Yarrowia lipolytica: one gene and its partner. The protein of the gene in region 1 purifies or fractionates together with the protein of each later gene. This does not show direct contact. Links are inferred from orthologs where the notes say so. Each region holds a gene or a part of one and is shown on either strand. Other genes may lie near its edges.

What was found.
Region 2: the proteins of YALI1_C26167g (region 1) and YALI1_F16656g purify together in Saccharomyces cerevisiae (affinity purification with mass spectrometry; 3 studies listed by BioGRID). This does not show direct contact. The link is inferred for Yarrowia lipolytica from reciprocal best matches to the Saccharomyces cerevisiae genes NFS1 and HSP78.

Annotation. Positions count from the first base shown.
Region 1 is NC_090772.1:2,614,786-2,618,881, reverse strand, and holds YALI1_C26167g (uncharacterized protein), read right to left. Parts: upstream 2,104-4,096; coding exon 715-2,103; downstream 1-714. Other genes in the region: YALI1_C26161g (uncharacterized protein), read right to left, coding at 2,290-2,745; YALI1_C26146g (uncharacterized protein), read right to left, coding at 3,857-4,096. UniProt on the Saccharomyces cerevisiae protein: Catalyzes the removal of elemental sulfur from cysteine to produce alanine. It supplies the inorganic sulfur for iron-sulfur (Fe-S) clusters. Plays a role in both tRNA-processing and mitochondrial metabolism.
Region 2 is NC_090775.1:1,664,076-1,668,762, forward strand, and holds YALI1_F16656g (uncharacterized protein), read left to right. Parts: upstream 1-1,539; coding exon 1,540-3,888; downstream 3,889-4,687. Other genes in the region: YALI1_F16649g (uncharacterized protein), read right to left, coding at 671-865, 909-1,022. UniProt on the Saccharomyces cerevisiae protein: Required, in concert with mitochondrial Hsp70 (SSC1), for the dissociation, resolubilization and refolding of aggregates of damaged proteins in the mitochondrial matrix after heat stress.

The DNA of each region.
Region 1 (4,096 bases):
GCAACTGCTTGAGCTACGGGCCATGTCGGCTAACGCCCCCCTCGAATGTCTGTTGCGGTATGTGCCAAACGATTCGCACAGCATGTACTCGCACCGGCGACCTTCCAGGTGTTTATCGGTGTCGTATGTTTGACTCCTTACACGGAATTGGAACGACAAAGAGAAAGGAGTTGAACTGACCTTCACTAAGACCCCCCCAAGACGATTAGTTCGGTATGTAACTCTTCGTTTCCTCGAGTAGAAGTGGACTCTCTTGCCCTAATCCTTGAAACTGGGCTATATCTCGTATCAGCTACTGCACCCTTAGTGATTCTGCACTATGGTTAGCTGCATTTTACCACTAGGATAGCACATGACAATACAACACTACGCCAACCACCATCTTCAGGTACTACACGGATACAAGCCAATCGTGGTGTCATCAACTACCCATTGGCTGCTGGAGCATATTGGAGTCGTCCGTAGGAATACTGGTTGGAACGCAGACTACAAGTAGCCAATGATAAGCCATATTCTTCACGTCCACTCTTTCTCAACTCATATCTCTACCTTACTATCATTCACTATTCATCACATGCCATGCCTATATATCACGGCTCATCAGTTTTTTGTTTATTGTTGCGGATCTAGTTGCACCTGATTCGTACACTTGTCTAGAACAGTTCATACCGCTTATCATGGTTGCGCAATGTTTTTGCTGGCTGCCATGTTCGCTTAATGCTGAGACCACTCAATAGAATCCAAATCAATACCCTCCTGGACCATCTCCCACAGAGGAGACAGCTCTCGCAGGAAGTTGACTCGCTCCTGCACGGCCTTAAGCACGTAGTCGACCTCGGCCTCAGTGGTGAATCGACCAATACCAAATCGAATGGAGGAGTGGGCAAGAGCGTCATCGGCACCAAGAGCCCGGAGCACGTAAGAGGGCTCGAGAGAGGCAGAGGTGCAGGCGGATCCAGAAGAAAGAGCAATGTCCTTGAGAGCCATCAGCAGAGACTCTCCCTCAACGTAAGCAAAAGAGATGTTGACACAACCGGGGTAGTGGTGCTCAGCGTCTCCGTTCAGAGAAGTGTGCTCCATGGCCAGGAGACCGTTCTTGAGCTTGTCAGACAGCTTCTTAATGTGGGCGGTGTCGTAGGGCATCTCCTGTCGACACAGACGGGCAGCCTCTCCAAAGCCAGCAACGAGGGGGGCAGCCAGAGTTCCAGATCGAAGACCTCGCTCCTGACCTCCACCGGTAATGATGGGCTCGAGACGCACTCGGGGTCGTCGTCGCACGTAGCAGGCACCGATACCCATGGGGCCGTAAAGCTTGTGTCCACTTATGCTCATAACATCAATCTTGTCGGCGTTGACGTCGATGGGGATCTTTCCGACGGCCTGGGCAGCATCGGTGTGGAAGAAGACCTTCTTGGATCGACACAGAGCGCCAATCTCAGCAATGGGCTGGATCACACCAATCTCGTTGTTGACGGCCATGATGGACACCAGAGCAGTGTCGGGTCGAATGGCGGCCTCCAGCTGCTTCATGTCAATGAGACCGGAGGACAGAACGGGCAGGTAAGTGACCTCGAAGCCCTCATCCTGCAGGTATCGGCACGAGTCCAGAATGCACTTGTGCTCGGTCTGGGTGGTGATGATGTGTCGCTTTCGGCCCTTGTAGAACCGGGCAATACCCTTGATGACCATGTTGTTGGACTCGGTGGCGCCGGAGGTGAAGATGATCTCCTTGGGGTCGGCTCCGATTAGGGCGGCAATCTCCTCTCGCGCCTTTTCGACAGCGGTGTCGGTCTCCCATCCGTACGAGTGTGTTCGCGAATGGGGGTTGCCATACATGTCCGTATAGTAGTTGAGCATCACGTCCAGCACACGGGGGTCCGTGGGGGTAGTGGCCTGCATGTCCAGGTAGATGGGTCGCTCATCGCCGGCAGGAGCGTTCTGGACAGCCTCGACGGCCTTGGCCACCAGAGATCCCTCAGGCGCAGAAGCGGTGAAGGTCTCTGTGGAGGGCGCGTGGGTGGCCAGGGATCGGGCCAGCGAGGGGTACGCGGTCCTGGTGGCCATTGCACGGCCCACGCTTCGAAACGCAAGTCGGAGGGTCATTGCGTGTGTGTAGTCTTGTGTGGGTGGAGGTAGACAGTTGTAGGTGCACCGTTTTCTCTGGGGAAGCCAATTTTGGGAGGTGTAAATCACGGCACGTGTAAACGAGATACTGGACGGTGGCGAAGAATAGTAGAGAGCAAGTGGGTCACGGGACAGATAGAGAGCTTATTCTGAAGAGGGGAGAATTTAGAGTAAAACAAGGCTGTTTTTGTCTTTCCATCGTGTAGATTGTGCCTTCTTTTTTCGACATCTGAAATCAACACCCACAGGACATGTATGTTCCAGCCAATAGATAGAGTTATGCAAGAAGAGGTTAGTGGGGGTTGATTGGTAAGCCTCGTGAAGTGCATACCTGGGGAGTGGTCTAGACGTGGTATCGACGGTCTGAGCACGTGATGCGAGATTTATACGTCCTATGACCAGACTGGAACAAAAACACGTGTTTAAAAGTCGACTGAGAAGACTCCTTTTACCCCCTCCCCTGCTACACACCCTCCGCGTGAAACTCGGATGCAGAAAAATATTAATGTAGGCGGAGATATTTCCATGCAGGTGATCCAAGAGAAGCAAAGACCAATAATAGCCGAAAGTCGCAGGGCGTATCCGGCAATAAACTGAGTTCTGGGGTCGGAGAGATGTCATAGAGAGCCATTGGCACGAGTACTGACTAGACGAGCGGTGATATAGATGCTTGTATTTGGTTTGATTGGGTTATGCCCTTGAAACACCTCTTCGTTGCTATGTTAACGAACATTCTGTACAGAACGTACAGAACAGTGTGAGTACTCGAGCGTCTTCCACAGGATTCGAACCGAGACAAGTTGCAGAGTCAATCATGACTCAAATATACTTCCGAGCCGGAGATGGAATCCCTCTCATCGATACAACGCACCCCATCTAACCATGCATATTCTCGGCCACTCACCGGCGCATGCCATCTTGAGATATTGACGTGTGGGCAGGAAATAGTAGTCACGTGATCATATGAATCGGCTGCAAGTAGCAAACAAGCTGGGGTTCAGTTTCACAGCCAGTTTGTTCACCCACATGTGCACCAAGCTACAGTTGCTTGCTTGTTTCAACCGTTTTCTTTGTCGTCGTTTTGAGTTGCCGTTGGATTTCTCCGCAGATTGGCAAGCATATATCTCGATGGGGAGTACTCGAAAAACACATCTCTTTGAAAAAATCATGTCGAAAGCACAAGAAAAGGCTATCTACGTATCCATTTTCCCTTTTCAACTTCGCGTATATCGTCATTCACAGACCAAAACAAAAGAGATCGTGTAACTCAAAGTGAATCAAAGTTTGAAAGAGTTGGGTGGGGGGTCGGCCTTTGAAGGGACGCTCAGTCGGGCTTCCAAGTGTATTATTGTTGTATTTGGCAAGTTGTGTTAGTTTTTACAATCAAATATGGTCAGGTATCTCGGTTTTTGTCAGTTTGTCTCATAGTGCAGTCTCTCAGCACAACTAGCAACACTGCACAACATGCGTCCATCGTGCTTCGAAAGTTGTAAATCGTCGAACAGATGGTCTGTACTGTAGATATACATCAGTAAAGCTGTAGATCAATAGGTTATGTAATAATTCTGCACTATAAGACTTCCGAGTTCATGGTTGCCATCCGTTTACGCATGGTATTGTCGTCTATATACTTGTACTTCACAGCCGTGTACTTGGCTCAGGTTTGCGGTTTGCATGTAATGAGAGCATTCCTTGTAGTTCAGTTGGTCGCACAAATTGATACAGGAGCGTTTCACAGACACATAACTCTCGGTCCAACCATGTGAATCATGTTACAGAGCTCTTCGGTCAGAGGATGATCAGGACCCAGCACGTTCACCAGATGCTGGCCAAGGATCATAATCTTCCGGGCAATAGAGCCCAGCTCAGTTCGGGCAGGCTCGGGCATTTGGTCGTACTGCAAGTGAACCACGTCGTAGTATTGTGCCAGGGCTCCCAGCCTGTTTAGCTGGATTTTGAGGTAGGTGACACA
Region 2 (4,687 bases), on another chromosome or scaffold:
GTGTTTTTCTTTTGTTTTTGTTTCTCCTCGCCTTGGATAAAAATTGTGCACTGGTTTTAGCCCCCTTTCATAAGTACAGTACCGGTACATTGTGCTGGAAGTTGTAGCCATGTCAGATAAAAATGTTGTTTAAATTGCTCACCAAAAAAGTGGAGTCATATTCTGAGATGTTTTGGGCAGTTTTTCGCACGGAAAAAGTTGAAAATCAGATCTACAAACACTTTAAAATATATTTATTGATTCAATTTTGTTGTTTATCACCACTAACACCACGTTTGGTACGTCTTTTGTCCCAGATATTAAACTCCGTTATCAGTGGGGCTTGCATTTATCATGCATAATCGTTTGAATTAGTTTCACATTGAGAATAGTGTCTCTAACTCGGTCAATATCGATGGGGTTGACTAGGTGAAAGTTGTAAATACATTATAAGACTCACCGTGAACTCTAGTAAAAAAATTGTCTTTCTACGACCTCTATTGATCCAGAAAAATGAACATCTCGTGAATCCCCCATTTGCCTGTCCTGATCTTAGAGAAACTCGAAAACTACAATTTTCACAGGGTCAATTGAAGAGCTGGTATATTGCAATGTCATTTAGAGCCTTTATATCAACTTTCGGTGTCAATTTGGGCCCATTTGTCACATTCTCGTGTGTAAATATCGGCTGTCATTTTTTGGCTCGATAGAGTTTTGGTCTAAACCAAACTGCGGTTATTGGAATGAGAGTGGAAAACGTCCAGGTGGGTTGTGAGAGGTGACATGAGCTTGAATCAACCACCAGCGAGTTTCTACCATTGGTTTTTGCCGCTTTCATGGTCTCCTTTTCTCCAAACATCCACCACATTCTAGAAGATTCCAAGGCCTTCTACAACGTTCCACCCGATTCCATAGTGCCGAAACATCACCGGGAATGGGTCCTGAACCGCAAATTTTTCCCGTTTCGCCACCATTCTTCCCATTGACCCGGTTAAAATCGGTTTCTTTGCCACCGGGCGTGAAATCGCCCATCTAGCGCTCATTCTGAATGGTCCAAAACCACCCTTCCCGCTCTAGGAAGAGGCATACCACTGTCGATTCGTACTGCGACCACTCCGCCCAGAAATACTGTACGAATGCTACACTGCTGCCGCCTCTGCTCACACCACCGCCCACATGCACATTTCCCCGCTCATTGGCCCGCGAAAGGGTTGCTACGAGGGCCAGACTGAGGCAGTCTCAGCCTCGCGATTAGGTTAAGGCGTAGGCATATGTGATGCCTTTAGATGTGCGGAAGATGTCGTATCTACTGACGCTAGCAGGGGCAGTACACGTCAACAAACCACATAATCGTCTTCTCCATCCTCGGTTTAGTTGATTTCCCGTCTCTCCCGCCTTTGCCACCGCCACAGGTCCCAATAATCGCCATGGACGATTCCAGAACCGCCTTCAACTTTCAGCTCGGTTAACTTTGACGGTCCCATCGCCAAATATATATATCAGCAGCGGTAGCGGAGCAGACACACATAAAACGCACACGCTAACTACTACTTCAACATTATGTTTCGAGTGAACGCAAAGAACGTGCAGCGATTGAGGGCGCGACCTCTCGCTCACGCCAGCACAAGGACCCAGGTCCAGACCAGAGCTTTGAGTACTGCTGTTCGACCTACGACCTCCGCTACTACCAGCTGCTCTACATGGGGCACCATCAGAACCCCGACGATGATTCGGGCTCCAGGAAGCCTCGGATCGCCGAGATTCATCACTATGACCCAGAACCCCGGTGGCGAAAAGTCGTACCTGGAGTCGTACGGAGTGGATCTGTGCGAAAAGGCCAAGGAGGGCAAGCTAGATCCGGTGATTGGTCGAGACGAGGAGATCAAGCGAACGATCCAGATTCTGTCTCGACGAACGAAAAACAACCCCGCGCTGATTGGTCTGGCCGGAACCGGTAAGACCGCCATCATGGAGGGTCTGGCCCAGCGAATCGTCAACGGCGAGGTGCCCGAGTCCATGAAGGGCAAGCGGGTGATAGCTCTGGACGTGGGGGGACTCATTTCCGGCGCCAAGTACCGGGGCGAGTTCGAGGAACGTCTCAAGGGCATTCTGGAGGAGATTGACAAGGCTGAGGGCGAGGTGATTCTCTTTGTCGACGAGTTGCATCTGCTGCTGGGCCTAGGAAAGGGCGAGGGCTCGGTTGACGCCTCCAACCTGCTCAAGCCCGCTCTGTCGCGAGGTAAGCTGCAGTGCTGTGGAGCCACCACCATTGACGAGTACCGAAAGTACATTGAGAAGGATGCGGCCCTGGCTCGACGATTCCAGTCGGTCATGGTCAACGAGCCCTCCGTGGAAGACGCCATTTCCATTCTGCGAGGTCTCAAGGAGCGGTACGAGGTGCACCACGGAGTGCGACTGACCGACGCTGCTCTGGTGACTGCCGCCGTCTACTCCAACCGGTACATTTCCGACCGGTTCCTCCCCGACAAGGCCATTGATCTGGTTGACGAGGCTTGTTCGGCCCTGCGACTTCAGCACGAGTCCAAGCCCGACGAGCTGCAGGAGCTGGAGCGCCAGACGGTGACTCTGGAGATTGAGCTGGAGTCGCTGCGAGAGGAGGAGGACCCTCTGTCGGTGGAGCGACGAAAGAAGGTGGAGGAGAAGCTCGAATTCAAGAAGGGCGAGATTGAGCGGCTCACCAAGGTGTGGGAGGACGAAAAGCGGGCCATTGACCAGATCAAGGAGACCCAAAAGACCCTTGATGGCGCCCGAACCGATCTCGACACCGCCAGACGAACCGGCGACTTTGCCGCCGCCTCCAAGATCCAGTACCAGGACATTCCCGAGCTGGAGCGGATTCTCAAGGACGCCGAGTCCTCCGACGCCGGCTCTTCGTCTCTTTTGCACGACTCTGTGACCCCCAATGACATTGCCAAGGTTGTTTCTCGAATGACCGGCATCCCTACATCGTCCATGATGAAGGGCGAGAAGGACAAGCTGCTAGATATGGAGGTGTGCATGAAGTCACGTGTTGTGGGCCAGGACGAGGCCGTGGACGCTGTGGCTGACGCAGTGCGACTCCACCGAGCCGGTCTCACCAACCAGAAGCGTCCAGTGGCCTCGTTCATCTTCCTGGGACCCACCGGTACCGGTAAGACCGAGCTGACCAAGGGTCTGGCCGAGTTTCTGTTTGACGACGAGAATGCCATCATTCGGTTCGATATGTCCGAGTTCCAGGAGCGACACTCCATTGCTCGACTCATTGGTTCTCCCCCCGGCTACGTTGGCTACGAAGAGTCTGGAGAGCTGACCGAAAAGGTGCGACGAAAGCCCTACGCCGTGGTTCTGTTTGACGAGTTTGAGAAGGCCCACCCTGATGTGTCCAAGCTGCTGTTGCAGGTGCTGGATGAGGGTACGCTGACCGACTCGCAGGGCCGAAAGGTGGACTTTACCAACACCATTCTGGTCATGACCTCCAACATTGGCCAGGAGTATCTGATTTCGGACTCTCCCGACTCCAAGAAGAAGGTGATTGAGGCGCTCAAGTCGCACTACGCCCCCGAGTTCATCAACCGAATCGACGAGACTCTGGTGTTCAACCGACTGACCAAGGAGGCGCTGACCGAGATTATCGACATCCGGCTGCTCGAGGTCCAGGCTCGACTCGAGGACAAGCGAATCACGCTCTTTGTCGACGACGAGGCCAAGCAGTTCCTCGTCGACCACGGCTACGACCCCATGTACGGCGCCCGACCTCTCAACCGACTCATCCAGAAGAAGGTGCTCAACCCACTGGCTCTCCATCTGATCCAGGGCCGAACCCGAACCGGCGAGAATGTGCACGTGACTGTTAAGGATGGCGACATTTACGTTCCTGCCAACCACGAGACTGGAGAGATTGAGGAGTGAACCAACCTAGCGTCAAGCTGCATGTCTGGTAGACAGAGGTCATCAGATGAAGGTAGACTACACTAATGTATATAGAATAATGTTACTGATTGATAAGTTGAGAGAGAATATTGTAGAGCAGGGCCGATTGTATCAGTGTGTACTCCAACTTGATGAATCAGTCAACACCCCATTTCCAATCGCGTTGATATGGCGTACTTTGAGGTTGTCGGTGTCAACTCAAGCAGCCGTTCCGTAGTGTTATTGGGCAGCGAAATACTCTTATCAAAAGTCACGGAGCAAGCCAATGGACTTGAAAAGTTTGGACAATAGCCAAGAATCTCGATTTCCAAGTGTATTACTTCTCTCCGCCCTTTTCTCCCTCTTCTGAGTACAAGTAAATCTCTGACAGGACTTCACAACAGGTCAACACTATCAAATGATACAATGTGCCCGGGCACTTGAGTTGATTGAAATCATTGACGATCAAATTGCGAAGCCTCGCTTTGCACTCCTCGCTTTGCACTCCTCGCGTTGCACATCCTGTCGGAAGTTTCTGCTCCACCCAGAAACATGTCTACCATTCGTCTCGAAGGACTCTGGCAGGCAGCATAAAAAGAACTGATGACACAGGCATAGATACATTCATCTGTACGCTAAAATAACCCATCTCTAGCCTCAAAAAAAAAAAAATGGACGACACCGGAATCGAACCGGGGACCTCGCGCATGCTAAGCGTATGTGATAACCAACTACACCAGACGCCCTGATTTTTTAAAAACAAGGACATGTGCAACTGAGTTCTGGGTAATGGGTTAGG